2 linked regions of the Struthio camelus genome follow. The protein of the gene in region 1 purifies or fractionates together with the protein of each later gene. This does not show direct contact. Links are inferred from orthologs where the notes say so. Each region holds a gene or a part of one and is shown on either strand. Other genes may lie near its edges.

Region 1 (8,977 bases):
TTGGCATCCCATGCAAAGGTCAGTGTTCTCAGTCTATAAATTCAACCAACCATTTTAAATGTGTAACTGATATAATTATGACTTACCTGCACTATCTCCACCATTAAAAATACAGAAATATATTTACATCACTTTGAAAAATATTTATCTAATATGAGAAATGACCAAACTATTGCAGTCCTCATTTTCCTGTTAATCTGGCCATTTAACCCATTACTGTTTTTTACAGGAGAATACAGCCCCTAATCCTCTTGCCAAAGAAGAGATGAACTTTTTGGCCAGGCTAATAGGAGTTCTGGAGATCAAGAAACCTGGTGGCAATGAGACAGGATTTCGACTAAACTTGTTCACGACAGACGAGGAGGAAGAGTATGCTCGAGTTGTGCTTGGTTGGGGTTTGTGATTTAGTCCCATGTGGACAGTCCTGGAGACTGAAGCTGAGCCTTAACAGCCTTAGGGACAGAATAAGCAGTCTTTGTAGTATCTCCTTATCCTGGTGCAGATAGTCCCTGAAGGAACACAAGGAACAGCAGTTTCCCTGGCTTGACCTTTTTTTTGGGACTAGCAGCAAGGAGACGCATTTGCGTTACTGGTGTTTCACTTGTGATGCAAGCTCTTGTCCTTGGGACTGCTTGTCCCTTGAAGTGAGACTGGCAGATCACCAGTCTGTGACCATCTGTGCTTAGGTCCTGTCACACAGAACTGAAACAACGTACATCCCTTCAGCTCCTTTAGCTCTCCCATCCCCCAAATGAATACATACTTATCTCCTGAAATATACATATCTTAACAATTGATCAGTGGTGATAAGCCTAACAGGCTTGACTACCTTAGCTGCTTCCTAGCAGGGAGCAAAAGGGTAATGAGACATTTCATTATTTGATTTCTGCAGAATTTTTTTTGCAGAAATTTTTGCAGATTTGTTTTATTTGCAACTAAAGAGAGACTCTCACTGTTCTACAGCTAGCATAAGAAATCCAAGACAGGGATAAGACTGCAAACTGGGATTAATGTATTAATTTGCCTAGTAAAAATAGCAAAGTTGTCTAAACTTCATGTCCACAGCAGCCTCATGAATCTGATTCTGTTTTCATCACTTACTGGTATGTCATCGTGAGATTAAGCACTTTTTTCATGTTTTCAATCAAGGCACGCAGCATTGACTAGACCAGAGGAGTTATCTTACAAAGTTATCAACATAGAAGCCACTCAGGTATGTACGGTGTATTTCTGATCTTTTGATTCTAATCGTTCTTTCCTTGCTAAGAACTGAGTTTTACCTGTGGTAGTGACTTAAAAATATATAGATGTGTTGTGTTCAAATTCAGTTAAGCTCGTGATAAGTAATGGAAATATAGTCTACTAAGTTTGTAGATATAGTAATTACTGAGTAATAGAACTTGAAATATTTGAATATTTCAAATATTTGAATTCCAAATATTTGCAGCTTTCTCACTTATTAGAACAAGTTTTAAGACCAGATGGACTAGAGAACGCATACCGGATCATGCCTAATGCCTGTAAACCCTTAAATCACCTCCTTAATTTTAACAGGCAATTGGGCATCTCTGAATAGGGCTGCAATACTGTGGTACTTTTACAGGGGAGAATCCCAGCCGGTGTCAGGAACACAGGCGGGAGCACCGTCAGCCCAGGAGAGGCAGTTGTCGGCAGATTAACGGGGGGAGCAGTACCCCTGCGCTCGCTTGTGGCACGCCGGGGCTGCGGGGGCCGGGGGCGCAGGCTGAGGCTGTCTCTCTCCGCGCAGGACCCGGGGCGGCAGGAGGAGCTGGCCCGCATCCTGGGGGAGCTGGAGGTGGCGGAGCAGCGCCCGGCCAGCACGGCCAAAGGCGAGGACCTGCTGGCGCTCATGGACGGGCTCTGACCGCCCGCCGCACCATTAAATACGCTGTTCCCAGCCTGGCACCGAGCGAGAGTCCGGGGCCGGGGGCGGGCGGGCGGCGCCGGGGCCGGGGGCGGGCGGGCGGCGCTCGGGGGCGGGCGGCTCCGGGGCGGTTCGGGGGCCGGGGCCGCACTGCGCACGCGGCCGCTCCGCGCCGCCCCTTCCTGCCGCCGGGCCGCGCGGGTGAGTGTGCCGGGGAGGAGGGAAGCACATGCACGCGAGCGTGCAAGGGGGGGCGGGCAGCGTGCACGCCCGTGTGCGCGGGGATCCAAGCGGCGCGTGGCCGCGGGAGAGGGGCAGCGGGCGGGTGGGTGTGCGGGGGGGCGCCTGCAGAGCGAGAGTGCGAGCAGCGGGAGTGGGCGTGCGGGTGAGCGTGCAAGAGGAGGAAGACAGTTTGTACGTGCGTGTGCAAGGAGAGGAGGGCGGTGTGCACCTATGTGCGTGTGCAAGGGGAGAGGGGGTGGTATGTACACCAGTGTGCAAGGGGAGGAGTGTGAAAGCATGCAAGGGAGATGCAGTGCATTTCTTTGGTGGCTGCACCGCAGCATGTGCCCCGGGACACAGAGTCTGGCTGACCTGCCCCTGGGGGAGCGGGCAGTGGGGCAGGCAGGTGCTGGTCAGAGCGCTGCATGGCGTCTCCTGTTCCTCTGCTACAGCGGCGCGATGGAGGTCAGCCACTCTGTCAAGGAGCGCACCATTGCCGAGAACAGTCTGGTCATCCTTCTGCAGGGCCTGCACGGCCATGTCACCACTGTGGACCTCCGTGATGAGAGCACAGCCACTGGGCGCATCACCAACGTGGACGCCTTCATGAACGTGCGCCTGTCTGAGGTGACCTTCACAGACAGGCAGGGCACAGTGTCCCACCTGGATGAGCTCTTTATAACCGGCAGGAACGTCCGCTATGTTCACATCCCCGACGAGGTGGACATCAGGGCCACCATCGAGCGTCAGCTGCAGGCAATCCACAGGATCCGCTATTTTGGAGGCCGTGACAAGGGCAGGAAGGAGTTCCCTCGAGCGAGGCACAAGTGATCCTTCCTGGTGCTGCCGTATCTCCAGCTCCAGCACGGACCCTGGCGCCACGTGCACGGGAAGGCAAGGACAGGTGTGTCCCCTCTTGACAGGACACTGGGACTTTCTGCCAGCTGCCTCCACACCTTGCCCTGGGCATCCCTCCCAGGGACACAGGGCTCTGCTTCTCCCCTGGCTGGTGCCTATGGGAGAGCGGGGGGATCCTCAGTGCGAGGTTATTTTTTTAATGAATAACCCTGCTTTAAAGGATCTGTGATTTCTCTTTTTTTTTTTTTTTTTTTCCAGCTCATTTCCTGTTTGCTTGGCAGCTACTCTGTATCCCTTCTCTCACTGCTCACCATTCTTCTCAAACAAAGCCCTTTTGGTCAGAAGCCACAGTTTGGTGTTATTGCTTGGCTGTGGTCTCCCACAGGCATCCTACTGCTCTCACAGCTTTGCCTTCCTGGCTAGTGGAGACTGGGACCCCACTGCTATGGGTACCTCTGTCCGCAGGAGATTGAGCGCTGTGGAAAGGGGGTCAGGAGGAGATGGAGGCCATGAGACAGCCTGGGCACTCACGAGCCGCAAAGCTGGCAAATTGAACACAAGGTGCTGGTGTGCATCATGCTTGTTGGCTACAGCTCCCCAGGTGGCTTTCTCGGATGCCCACGGGTGTCTAGCTTCACTCCTCCTACAGCCCTGATGGGCATTTGCACCCGTGGCCAAAACAGGTGCGTGACAGAGGGGAAGGGGCAGTGCTGTTCTGCATGGACAAGTGCAAAGGTGCAGGGATTGCTCTGCTCAGGGTCCTGGGAAGAGGAAGCTGTGCTCAAAGCCTAGCGCGTGGCAGCAGGAGGATGAGGAGGGCTCCCTCGTGTCTGCATGGGCTCTTCCTGCTGCTGGAGCCAGGCACGTGCTGGTCCCCAGGCAGCAGATGTGTCAAGGGCAGACACCCAGGAGTTGGCAGTCACTGCCCCTAGGTGTGTTGCTGGAGTCAGACAAGCCCTGGATGGCTCTTTTGGCCGGGCAGGAAGGAGTCACAGACCTGGCTCGTGTTGGCAGAGGGTGATTGGCAACAGTGAAAGGAATGGGAATGAAATGGGTTTTTATGATTCACAGGTCTATGTTATCACCGAGGACACAGCAAATGCTACCGCTGCCAGCTCCTCTGCTTCCTCACTCCTCCATAAGTCTTCCCCAGCCCACTGAGAGTCTGCCTAAAACATTGCCAGAGTCAACAGATGACTTCATCCTATTTGGTACAGGCATCTCTTTGTTACCCAGTGCTGCCTGGCCATCTCCGAGATGGAGCTCGGTGGCGGTTGCCCTGCGTGTGTGTGTGTGCGTGCAGCTCTGTTCTTGGGCATGGGCATCCCTCCTGGCTTGCTGGAGTGGCTGCAGTGCTGGGGGCAGAGCAGGGACCCCAAGGAGTCGGAGGTGAAGCTTGTACCCCACCGTCCCCTGAAGTGCCGGTCAGGTGGAGATCAGGAGCGACTATGGGTGAGGAACAGAACCTGGGCACAGCGAGGGATGATGACCCTGCGCCGGGGGGCGGGGAAAGGGGCTCCTGGTGACCCACCAGACCTCCACACAGGCCGCCTGGGCCGCCCCAGCTGGGAAGACGGCTTGGAGTGGTTTTTGCGTGGGCTTGAGCGAGGCGGTTTGAAAAGGGAGCTTTCGGCGACCCGCCCCAGAGGCAACGAAGCCTGGGGGGGCCCCCGCCTGCAGCGGGCGCAGGAGGCCTGCTCACTCCTCCGGCTCAGCTGGTCGGGGCAGCGGCGTGGCATGACTCGCCCCCCCTGACCCGGAGGTATCCCAGGGGGCCGGGCCCCCGCGCGAGGGGCAGAGGGGTTCCCTTCCCCTGAGCCCCCGCAGGGCCGCGGCCCTGGCGCTGATTCACGGGGCGGGGAGGGCCGGGCCGGGCCGGGCCTTGCGCAAGCGGCGGAGGCAGCGGGCCGGCCGCTCCGGGCCCTGACTCAGCCCGGCCCCGGGCTCGGGGCGGCTGCTGCGGCCTGCTCTGGGGGTGGGGCTGGGGCCCGGGGGCGGGGCTCCCTGGAAAGCCCCCGGCTCTCCCCCAATCACGGCGGTTTCGAATCTCCCGCCTGCCCACCAACCCGCTTCCCATCCACGGCCTGCCGCAGCGGCAGCCAATCAGCAGAGGGAGCCGCGCTGCTCCGGCCAATGAGGCTCCGCTGTTCGCCTCCTCCCGCCTCGCCTCCGGGAGTCAGCCAATCAGATCCTGCCGCCTCGCCGATCCCCTCCCGCCTCACCTGAGCTCTCCGCCAATGGCGGCCGGCGCCAGCTCCCCGGGCCAGCCAGAGGCGCGCCGTCCCCGCCGCCATCTCCGCGGCGGCCGCCAGGAGGCAGGATGGCGGCCGGCGAGGGGCGGGGCGGGGGGGAGAAGGCGGTGCGTCACTTCCGTCGTCAGGTGGCCGCCGCCGCGGAGCGGAGCGGAGGCCGCGGCCGGGCGTGGGGCTGCGGGAGGCGCCGGCGGCCGCGCCGGCCCCGGGGCCATGGGTGAGCAGGGCCGGGGGGGGGGGTCGGGCCTCTCGCTTCGGGGTCTTCCTGCTGCTGGGCCGCGCTCCGCCTTCCCGGGGTGGGGGGGCGGCGCGGCGCTGCTCGCCCGGCTCCTCAGGGGTCGCTGGCCGGCGGCGGCGGCTGGGGGCAGGCGGCTCGTCCCGCGCGGGTCCGCGCCCGCGGGTGCTCGGCGCCCGGTGAAGAGCCCTGGGCGGTTCGCCGCCCTCCGGGAGCCGGAGCTGCCCCCCCCCCCCCGGCTGTCTCTGGGGGTCTCCGCGCGGCCCGGCGGCTGCCCCTCTTGTCGCGGCAGCCCTGCCGCTGCCTAGCCCGCTGCCGCCTCTTCACCGGTCAGGTGTTAGCCGTGGCGTAGTGCGGCGTGCTTATGCAGTTAGGCTGAAAAAGTCGGTTAACGAAGCTCCTTTTGGGTTTTTTTTTCCCTCCTGTCGATAACGGTAGCATGGTTAGGGGGTTTTTTATTTTGTTGACAGCGCCTAACTCAACTCTCCTGGCAGCACAGCGATAGGTTGCGAGCGTGCTGGGGGGCCAGCGGCTCCTGTCTGGTGCCGGCTGTGTTTTCAGGCTGGGTGACAACGTCTGAAGTTAGTTGCTTGGGGAGAAGGCAGTCTGGGGTGCTCCCAGCAGTAACTGGCTGAAGGCTGTAGCTCTAAGTAAGAACGAATAGGACCATAAATTATTAAAGTTGGAGCTAGCTACAGAAACTTGTCCTGTCTCCTCTGTGTTATTCCCTTAATTCATTTGAATAAAGTAATAAGGAATGCTTTAAATTTCTTCTGCTTTAAATTATCTAAGAAGATAATTTAAATTATCTTCTTTCTTCTTCTTGTTAGTTGCTTTTCTTTTCTTTTTTTTTTTTTTTTGACAGTGGCCTTTGAAAGTTAGAGTTCAGTTAAAATCCTTTCTTGCCGCGCCATGCGAAGGTATTAAAGGTCCCGCGTTTTACTGTTGGAATGAGCCCGTGGAGCCTCGTCTTTGCCCCACTGCCCATCTCTCTGGACATAAGGGCCTTCTAGACTTGTTTTTATTTTGGCCAGTTACTCCTTCCTCCTGTCATCCTGTCCACTGTGTTATCTGTTCACTGGGTCTGGTTGTGAATATGGATGAGCTGTGCTGGTTATAGATTCCTTACATGCTGAAAGCAGGTAAGGGAGCTGCATTTTCTAGTACTGCAGTTTATTTGCATTTGCAGCAATATGCTGTCCTAAATTTGGGAATTAAGTAATTTCTGAAAAAATTCCAACACCCTCTAAGCTTGAAGTTGGCTTTCTTAAGCCTTTGTTTTTTCTTTTACTGGCTTAGAGTCTTAATATATAGGCTTACCATACACTGCTGTTTGACAGCGTGCATAGGTGCGCTCGGCATTTGATTGCATTCAGGCTGTAGTCTCAGCTATAGCCCGGTGTCAGAAAGGAGGTAATGAAGTAGGAGTGAGTGTTGGAGCTGAGATTACTCAGCAGAGGCTAGTGCAGAGTATGGTGGGGCTAAGCAATCTGGGTCTCAAACTCCTTCCTGCTGCAGGGGGAATAGGATCTCTCCATGGCAGAAGGGATGTTAGTTGAGTGCTCCAGCTCATACGGAGCTCGGGTAAAAGAGCAGACTGGCAGTGTGCACGTAGCAGAGGTGAAGTTTAACCTGAGGGACGGGGCAGATCCATGGTGCATAGGTAAGATTTAGACCAAGAAAAATCAATGGTATCATTTTGTGCCAAGTCCCTTATTCCTTGAAATAAAAAGGGTGTTTGTGTACTACAAAGTCTTTGGCTTTGTGCCTGTGCCCAGTCTGATCTAGTTTTCATCATTCCTGCAGTCAGCAAAGACCTGATGACCTGAATTTTGTCATTGTAGCTAAAGCCTCATCAGCAGCCCTGGCTAGATAGCAGCGATGAAATCCAGTGCGCTGAATAACACGGGCAGGTTGGTTCTCACTGCCCCATTAGCTCTAGCTAATGGTGCTGATGGCCTGTTTTGTGTGGGGGGACTTGTCTATTTGTTCACAAAACCGTGTATCCTGCTAGTTGACGGGTTTCAGCAGCTGCTGGAGCAGGACTCAGGTGTGTTGACAAAAGTAGGGCTAGTTTCTGGTATGTTCTCCTGAAGGGCTTCTGCTAAGATCCTTTTAGCGAAAAGTCCCCAGTCGGTACCATTTGGGATGAAGGAAGTGTTTCCCTGATGCTGGAGTGTTTTGCTACATCCTTTTATTGTTTCTCTGTGGCATCTGCACTGATGATTTGGTCACATAATCACATTACTTAAAAGCACCCTCATGTTCAGCTGCCTTTTATCCTCAGGATATTGCAGAATCATCTCCTTTTAAAACCACACAGAGGGAAGCCTTGTAGCCACTTAGCTGCTGTTTGATTAAGGACAACCCTATTGATTTTGCCTGAACTGCCTGTTGCATTTAGTCTAATAAGGGAAGTGTTATCTGCATTTGCAGAAATTTGATGGTGCTCTGGATTTCTGCGTTTTGTGCCTCACTCTTGCCTGTGAGCTCTCCAGCTAGGAGCTCTTGCTAGACTGGAGGAAGCTCTGTGCCTATTGTAATTTTCCATATGAAATATTCTCTTCTTGTCAGTGGGGTAAATTCCTTTTTGGTCTTGTGGTATTTATATCAAATGTGCTTTTATGACATATATGGTAGTATGAATTAACCATCTAGATAACTTGAAGTATTTGTTTCTGTGTCGTTAGGGCCTTAAGAGTAAACTATATTAAAAACAGCAAGCATGTCTCACCATAAAGAAAATGTGTCAGCATGTGCATGAGTCATGCAATAATCTTTGTGCATGTGAAGCAAGTCCTGCTGCACTGAACTTATGGAGCACTAAATATACACAGTAACTTAAGCTATAAATGAAAAATAAAATCTAGTGCAATGAATATCTTACCTGATGGTGATTTTAAAGCTAATGACTACATAACTTCATGGGAGCTCTGTGTGCACTGCAGTCCAAGGTCAAGAACTCTATATGTCATGATCTGCTATTGAAAGAGCAGCGTAGTCTTTTTCTGGTATTTCCAGAATGCCAAAGTTTCATTTTTCAGTTCTTGTCCTGTGTTGTGTCATGCTCTAGTTGGCCTCTGCAGTGAAACATTAGGCCCTTCTGGGAGCATTGTTCTCTTTTTTGTGGTGACTGGAAAGCCTTACAGATGTGTCCCGTGCTTCAGCATGAAAGGGTTAAGCTTAAGTTGGTGATTATGTAATCAAATAGGGAACTCCCAGAGATGAGTCCTTGGCTATCTAATGTGTTGATGTATCAGAAGAGTTTAAAGAAAGACTAGGTTGTTGCGTATTTGTGCTGTAATTACATTACTGGAATCCTGTGCTTCAGAATTTCCCCTGCCTGCCTGTGGGGCCAGAAAGGAATTTTCTTTCCTTGATGCATTGTTTGGTCTCTGGAAGTCTTTTGTCTCTGAAAAGTTGGAGTTTGGCTGCAGATGGACATGGGATGTAGGCAAGGATCCCTTCTGGCGCTGTATTCTCTCAAGTGCTGGCTGTGGCCTGTTCTCACACCTAGGATTAAAC
Region 2 (8,247 bases), on another chromosome or scaffold:
CCTTGCAGTCTGCTGGGGTGTAAATGCGTTAACTGCAGCCTGTCCTCGGTGTGACCTCCTGTTGTAATGCAAAATACCCATTGGTTCTGTAAACGGAAAATATGACTCAATGCGGACTGTGGGCCCGGGATTGGCTGCTGCAGCGCTGAAACTGCACCTGTGCTTGCTAGCCGAGGAGTCTGCCTCGCGTTGCTTAACCCTCTTGTTGCCAAATTTGATGCACATGACATTAGCCTGTGCAATGCATATTTCCAAATTAGCGAGACTGTGTGCAATCTAACATTTCAACAAATGTTTCACCTCATTATGGGCGGGAAAAGCTGCAATAGCTTCCTTCAAAGGAATTACTTTCTTTGCATGACAACATATGGTTGTTTCTGTGTCAGAGGGGCAGTTCTAGTTCATTTTCTTATCATGTTCGTACGCTGCATCTTCAAGGAGTATCAGCCGAGTTCAAAAAAATACACTTTTCTCTGCTTCACTAATAACACTTCAGGTTTCATCAGACTAAGCACAACTCCGTTAAAGCTCTTGCTTATTATAGCCGTCAATGGGATAAGCACCTAATCAATGTCAGTTTTGCTTATTAAAATACATTTCTGGCTCTGCCGTGCTAGTGATGGATCTCGAGAGCAGCAAACACACCCGGGAAATGTGAACTAACTCCCTCATCTAAAATTAAAAAGTAATTGTGAAAGTATTCCTATTAGAATCGGCTTAGAATCATCTCTCTATAAACCTATGCTTTAGGCTAAGTTTTATCAAGGTGTTGCTTTGTGGGGTTTTTTTTTCCCCCCCTTAGAGAAGAATTCCCAAAGTCAGATTTAACCATGTAACACCCTCGCTCCTGTGCGTGCCCACGTCCACGTGTACGTGGGGTGCAGAAACCATCAACGTCACCGCTGGCAGGGATGAGAGAGAGAAAAGCTTCAAAGGGCACAGCAAATCTATCCTTAGAAACACAACTCTGATAAGAAGCTATCAGAGAAGACCCTTGCTGGTGGCTCCTCTCTCGGCGCTGAAAGGTGCCGGGGGGGGGGGGAACCACCAGGGGCAGCTGGCAGGGCCATGGGGCTCTCCCCGGGAACGGGGATTCCTCCCTCTTCCTGCTGCCAGAGCAGAGCTGTTATCCCTTTCGCGTGCCTAGTGCCTGAGCCTCCTTTCGCCCGCGGTCTGTGCCTTTTAGTCATTTCTTGTCGAACGCATTGCACGGATGATATATATTTGGACATCTGGCGCTAAGGAGCGCTCGCACGATCATCCCTTTTTCCACCAAAGGGTTTCGTCAAACTTTTAGTGAATGAGTGCAGGCTGACGCTGAGTTTCCTCAGCTTCATCAGTCAAGATCGGACTGAAAATAAGCGCGGACCAATTAGATCCGTGACTTATTAAATATACGTAACATGGACGTACTCGGATCTTGTAGGTGACGCCTGGTTTACCTGGAGATTTCCACTCCCTGGAATACTTTTTGCCTAAAAACATGGCATTTCTCAGTGCGGCAGTTCTCCCTAGCGCTCCCTCCCAGAGGCTGGCAGGCGGTAAGGGCTTACCTTTCTTCATTAGAAAAGACAAATTTCCTGAGCTTGAGGTCACCAAGTACGATGGCCGACTGGTGGCAGTGAGCTACAGCTGAGACGATCTGCTTGAAAAGCCGGGCGGCTTCCTCTTCCCGCAGCCTTTTGCAGCTCCTCACATAGGAGTGCATGTCCCCAAAGTCCTTTTCGAAGAAGACATAGGCCTTGGTGTCTCCGAGGATCACTTCTACGACCCCGGTGATGTTCCTGTGTGACGGCAGCTGAATGTAAGGCCGGATCTTGTCCTGGTAGTGTTTGAGAGGGAACACCTGTAAGGAGGAAAGTAAAGCGAAATTCATTGTCAAGGCGTTGAAACCGGCCTCTCTCGTAGCAACTCGCCCCAAACAATGATGAGGGAGCTGGAAAAGCGCCAACGCTCAGCAGCAAAGCTGTTCCCGAGACCCCTTCCAAGGCTATTAAAGCACTGTTAACTTTATGTTGGGCGGGGGAGCACCACCCAAAGCCTTTAATATCCACCAAGAGCCTTTCAGGTACTCTAAGGTAATCCACAGCCGGAGCTTATTTTCCGCGCTGGCAAACGCCCGCCGAGGGCAGCCGGATTTGGCCGCCGGTGGAAGCGGGCAGCAGCGGGAGGGTGTTCTGCGAGGGCTCCGCGGCGCCGCCCGGCTGCCCCGGCCAGTGTCGCCGGGGCTGCTCCGCGCCCCGCGCCCCGCGCCCGGCCACCCGCAAGCCCGCCGCCGCCCGGCGTGGTGGGGGAGGAAGCCGCGCGCCCGCGCAGCGCCGCGCTCACCTTGCAGCGCAGCTCGCGGCCGGAGCTGACGCTCAGCGCCCGCGACACCTGCTCGCGCTCGGCCAGCGGCAGCAGCAGGTAGGAGGCGATGAGGCTCGGCCCGGCCCCGCCGCCGCCGCCGCCGCCGCCGCCGGGCGAGGCCGGGGCGCAGGGCGAGCCGGGGGCGCTGAGGCAGTCGGCGGCGCCGCCGGGGCAGTCGGCGAGGCGCGGGCACTTGGCGGCCGGCGCTTCCTCGGCGGGGCCGTCGGGCAGCGGCGGCAGCCGCTTGGCCGGGGCGCTGCGGCAGCGGGCGGCCGGCAGGAGGAGCGCGGCGGCGCGGCGCGGCGGCGGCGGCGCCGGGCGGCTCATGGAGGGGGCGCGGAGCGGGCGCGGAGCGGAGCGGAGCCTCCGGCCGCGCCGGGGTCGGGCCGGCGGCGGCGGCTGCTGCTGCTGCTGCTGCTGCCGCCGCTGCTGCTGCTGCTGCTGCTGCCGCCGCAACGCGGGGCTCAGGCGCGGAGCGGCGGCTGGCGCATCGCCTCGCTCTCCCCGCCGCAGCCCCGGGCCGTGTCCACCATCTGCCGCCGACTCCGCGCTAAAGTACTTGGAGGCTTTTAAAAAAAAAAAAAAAAAGGAAAGAAAGGCAGCGAGGTTTATCCCCTCCTCCCTGCCCTGACGCAAGGGGAAGTGGGCCGGGGCCGGGGCGGAGGCTGGCGCTGCCGCCGCTGCCCGCCCCGTCGCGCTGGCCGCGGCCCCGCCGGGCGTCTCGCACCTGCGCTGGCTCCAGCGCTGCCGGGACAGGGCGCCCCGAGCCCCGCGTGCCCCTGGCGCCCACGCGGGAAGCGTGGCTCAGAGGCGCCCACGCTGTCGGGCAGAGCGGGAGTCGCGGGCAGCAAAGGAGGAGCACGGCTTTGGCGTTTTGCAAGCCCGTGCTGGAAGCGGCAGCAAGGGTGCCGCTGGGGAACGGTGCCAGCTGCCGTAGCGCCCCGCTTCCCCGCGGGACAGCACCGCTGCGCCCTTCTGGGGGCTGCAAACACAACACAGCCAAGCCAGGCTGCTTGTCAGGACAGACAGCGGGCACAGCCGCGCTCGGCGCCGTGCTGTTCGCTGCTGGCATCGCCAGCAGTTCCTGTTTGTCACTTGTCGCTAATTAGCCATTGCTCACCGCGCAGTTTGCATCACGAAGCTGGTGCGTATTTACCGTCGGTCATTCACGAGCGCGGATTTCTGCGCCCCGTCAGCAACGCTTCGCCTTGGGGGTTGCCCGTTTTTAAAGCATCCGCTGTCCTGAAAGGTAACAGAACGGAGAGCGAGCCGAGGGAGCGCCCTGCCAAGCGCAGGGTCAGCCTGGGCAGCCGCGGGCAGGCTCGGAAGCGCAGGCTTGAGGGAACACCAAGTCGGTTTGCAGCCAGGGTTGCTAGTAAATGGAGGAAAAACAAGAGGAAAACAGACAACAAACGATCGCTGGAAAAAAAATAGAGTCAGCCGTAATTCTGACAGTTCTTCAGAAGGAAACTGCTCCCGGCTCTTCTATTTACATCTATGCAAATTTTCTGTAATTCAGTACTGAGGCTTGCACAATAATACAAGGAGCCTGGGCTTTTGCTAAGCTGCAGAATCGGTTTTGTATCGCATCTTGAATGCCACCACGCTAGTGCGTTTAAACAGCAGGATGTTAGAGGACTAGATAGGGTTCCTCCATTTCTCAAGCCTGTGGTTGCATGAAGAGCAGGTATTTGCTGAGATTCCTGATAGATAACTGCACTGCAAAGCCGTGCATGCCTTCAGCTACTCCTAGTGTATTTTAAGAAACATATGAAACTCTTGTGCTGGATGACTCATAGCATAGCAGTCCCATTAATGCATTTAAACACAAAATGCATATGCCAAAAAGGGATATCCCAGGGGTTGCATTTTCCTTTTTTTTTTTTTTTTGTTTCAGAAATGTGATTCTATTAATGTCTGCAGATTGCTTCTGAGCAATTCACCTCAACTCTCAAAGCATGCTCTTTCATTTTGTCCCTTTCATAGATAAAACATGCCTGATTATCCATCAGACTTTTGTTTTATTTTTCCCTTCCTGGACTTTTTACAATTTGGATACCATTGCAGGTTTAATTTAGTTGGTAGGATTTTGCATAAATAGGCTGCATGCTACATCTGAGATAGCGTACTGGGGGCGGGGGATGAGAAGGGGGTCAGTGCTTTTTAGGGGCAGGGTAATAGTCTAGACACTTCACCAAAATAACAGTGGAGCTACAAAGCCTTACTCACCAGCGTTATTAGCATATAACACCATTCACCATACTTGTCCTTCAGACTCGTGTGGTGATTTCGTATGCGCAGGAAGTGAAGACGTTAAAGTAAACACCAACTGGTGAACCTGCAGTATGTACGTGCCTTTGGTCCTGGCCCTCCAAATGGTCCCTCTCTTCCCGTTCATAGGCCAGCACAAAGTATCTGTGAGCTCAGATACGTCTTAAGGAGCAGACCGTGCTGAGAAACCACTTGCAGAAATCACAAGTCTTGTCCCTCACCTCCTCGGCCTCTGGCCCCACTGGAGGGCTCCTGGTGCCCGTCCGGCCACGGCCAGCCCAGGAGTCCTCGGCGCGCCCGACCCGGCCCCGCGCCGCCAGCACCTGCACGCACGCTGCCTTCGAGACACCGAGAGCCTGACGATTCCTGAGGCTGGTCCTTAAGATGGCCAAAAGCCCCCTGCTCATCCCGTGCCCCTAAAAGATCAACCAGAGGTGCAAGGGAGAGTGGAGCACACAGGTGCCGCGATGTCGCACCCAGCCCAGGACGGCCTGTGGGCTTGTCCCCCCCCCCAGGCCAGCCGCCTCCTCATGCTCTCCCTGGGACGCTGGGCTTGGCCACCCTGGAGGTGTCCCGCCGGACGGGTGCAGGCATCAGCAAGGAGCCCCACAGATGCCTCCAGGGCCAGCAAAAAGGTGATTCAACTGCCCAAGAGCCGTGTGGCCCTCCCAAAGTGCTGCTCGGTGGCCTCTCCTAGCAGGCTGTACAGACTCCTAGGTGGACCATGCTCCTAATTCTGTTGCCTAAATGTGGCTGAGGTGAACCGAGGCGTAAATCTCCCAGGGTTAAACTCTTTGCAAAACGGAGGCAGTTCATTGCAGCAGGAAGCTGCCGCTGCTTCTTTAAAATGCTTAGCATGCTCTTGGGTACTCGGAGCATTAATATCATGAATAAATATATAGTAGCCATGAAAGGTTTAATCATTAATCAAATTAATGATGCTCGCCTTGTCAGTTTTAAGTTTTGGGTACAGATTGTCAGAAAAGGTCCACATGCAGCACCCCCTCCCTGCTAATTCCTCCCAACACGTGTGGCAGAACACAACAAGAAGTGATTTGCTATGGTTGTACTGCGAAGCAATGCAGAAAGGACATAGGAGGAATTCAAGGGAGCGGTGTGTGAAGAACTGAAGAACTTTTTGTAGCTTTCTAGTGTTAGAAAAGTAGTGCAGAATATGAGTCTACCACACTTCCCACAACAGTCACGTGTTATAGATTGCTCCCCGGGCTTTTAAGCATCCAGGCATATCCAGGCGTATCTCCCTCATTAGTTTCCTCTTGAAATCAAAAGCCACTGATATCTTCCTTCTTTTCCCTGCACAAGCCTTCGTCATTTCATCTCTCCCCCCTGCCCAGGAAGATTTTTCTCATGCTACCTGCTTAGCATACATGAAGAAAGAAATTCATCTCTGCTCAGGGAGCCAGCAATGAGCCATAGCATCTTTAATCTTCAACTGTTTCAAGGACTTCAGAGGTACCCTGGGCATTTACTACTGCATCTGAATACCTTTTGTACCAGCTGATCCCCTTTATAACGGGTTCCCAGGAAGCCCAGGGACTGAAGGCATTTTGGGGGATGGTTTGGGATGATCCATGGGGCATCTGTGCTCTCTTACAGGGTGCTGTGCGTTAAAAAAGGATATTTCTGAGGGCTGCCATAGGTTATAAGAGGAGATGAATACTGGTGCTGGCAGTTCCCAGCTATGCCAGGGATGAATTTGAGTCTAAACAGGTCACACACAAATATTTCAGCTAATATTTAACTGTCAGGCAAATGATGAAAAGTAAATATCTGTATTTTACAAGTTAGCTCAAGCCATGTCATGATATTTAAACGACTAGTAGATTTAAAGCCAGCCCTTCCAAATGAAGCAAGGCGGTCTCATGCATCTCAGATGGATAGCACTGTAAAACACTGCAAAGCACAGATCATTGCAGAATTACATTTATAGACTTAACTTTGGGATAAAATACTGACTCTGTGCATGAGTCTTGTTACCTAAGTGCCAGAAAAACGAAACACTATGAGCTACAATCCCGCATACTACAAGGAACCAAGCACACAGCCTTGGATGCTCAAATACAGGCTGGGTAGGAGTAAGGTGGGGCAGGCCTGGCCTTCGAGGACACGGATCACTAATCTGCGTGCAACAGACACTTTCCAAACGCTAAAGAATTCTAAGGAGTTTGCAGTCAAAGGACGGTGCAAAATCTGGCCATAAATCTGATCCTGCCTTGGAAAAGGATGATCGAAGCAATCAGGGTTGCTTGCTGTCTTCTCTCTTCCAGGAATCCCAACTGCTAGGCAGGGAGTTGGCGTTTGGAGCAGAGGTGACAGCCTGTGGGATGGCTGTCACAGTTTTGAGGCATCCCAGCAGAGGGAAAGGTCTTGCTCAGCACACATTGGCTAGAGCCATGGCAAGGTAGGGTGAATATTCCTTTTCATATATATTTTTTTTCCTTTTTTAAAAACAGGTAAGCAGTGCTATCGCACCTGCTAGATGAAGATTTAAGAAGCTGGAGATATTTTCAGTTGCTCATGCTTTCACAAGCTTTTTGCATTCCCTTTTCCTGATGTATTACTTTATTTAAGGGAATTTTTATTATGTGGTATTCAAGCATCTACCCGTCTCACCCTCAGCCACTGCCTGCCCGCATCTGATCAGCTGCTTTTCCTTAGATGCTCACGAAATTATCATCTCTGCTGCTCCAGTTCTCTGACCCTTTATCTTTTTAACTAGAACAGCCAGAGGCAATGAGAATTGTGTAACCATCTCCCCACTTCCCAAGTGCTTGGGACAGGTCTGGTTACTTTGATAATATGTCTCATGGGATACACAGAGTAAATCTGTGTTAGATTAGGCCACTTATAAATAAACTGGCTGCTTGCTATGGGAAGAAATTAAAAACTCATCATTTTAGCTATCAGATGAGAAGAGTCATCACACACAAATATTTCAGCTAATATTTAACTGTCAGGCAAATGATGAAAAGTAAATATCTGTATTTACAAGTTAGCTCAAGCCATGTCATGATATTTAAACGACTAGTAGATTTAAAGCCAGCATTTAAAACGAGCAAATAGTCCATAATCTACTACCGTAGTGCTATGTGAAAGCAACCCGCGTGGAAAAAGTCTGAGGTGCAATTGTGTGGCCCAGTGATAAAAAGAGCTTACAAGTTATGTTTTTTACAACAAAATCACATCGTGATAAACATGCAACCATACTAAGACATTCTGGAATTGAGTGACAGATTCAATGTTAAGATATAGAACGCATGACAGGCACGCAGGGACATCAAACAAACTGAAATGTAATGATGTTCAGACGTCTCCCCTCAAGCCTTCACAGAAACTGTTCTGAGGCTTGCTATTGCTAGGAAAACTAAATAATTCCCTTTTGATAAGCCAGTTGTTATCAAATCCAAGGAGTCTCATGAGCAGCACCTCCTGACTTTGTTTCTTCATGGACTAAAGCACATGAAGGCTTCTTCTGTTACTTGAAAGATATGTGAAGGTTCAGGTTTTAAACCTCAAATCCTGTTTTTACTTCAGAAGTTGATTGCACAAGCGACCAGTGAATGAGTGTCTCTCCATTTCCCTTGCGGTCAGAGAAGATCCTATTCA

What was found.
Region 2: the proteins of STK40 (region 1) and TRIB1 purify together in Homo sapiens (affinity purification with mass spectrometry; 3 studies listed by BioGRID and IntAct, counting the BioPlex papers as one, with this or other methods). This does not show direct contact. The link is inferred for Struthio camelus from reciprocal best matches to the Homo sapiens genes STK40 and TRIB1.

The regions. Positions count from the first base shown.
Region 1 is NC_090964.1:10,309,468-10,318,444, reverse strand, and holds the start of STK40 (serine/threonine-protein kinase 40), read left to right. Parts: upstream 1-5,270; 5' UTR 5,271-5,285; coding exon 5,286-5,434; intron 5,435-8,874; exon of another isoform or gene 8,875-8,889; coding exon of another isoform or gene 8,890-8,977. Other genes in the region: protein OSCP1, read left to right, coding at 1-18, 230-369, 1,150-1,213, 1,769-1,885; U7 snRNA-associated Sm-like protein LSm10, read left to right, coding at 2,567-2,938. UniProt on the Homo sapiens protein: May be a negative regulator of NF-kappa-B and p53-mediated gene transcription.
Region 2 is NC_090943.1:161,116,776-161,125,022, reverse strand, and holds the start of TRIB1 (tribbles homolog 1), read right to left. Parts: upstream 3,587-8,247; 5' UTR 3,516-3,586; coding exon 3,506-3,515; intron 2,916-3,505; coding exon 2,329-2,915; exon of another isoform or gene 2,293-2,328; intron 1,847-2,292; coding exon 1,554-1,846; intron 1-1,553. UniProt on the Homo sapiens protein: Adapter protein involved in protein degradation by interacting with COP1 ubiquitin ligase. The COP1-binding motif is masked by autoinhibitory interactions with the protein kinase domain.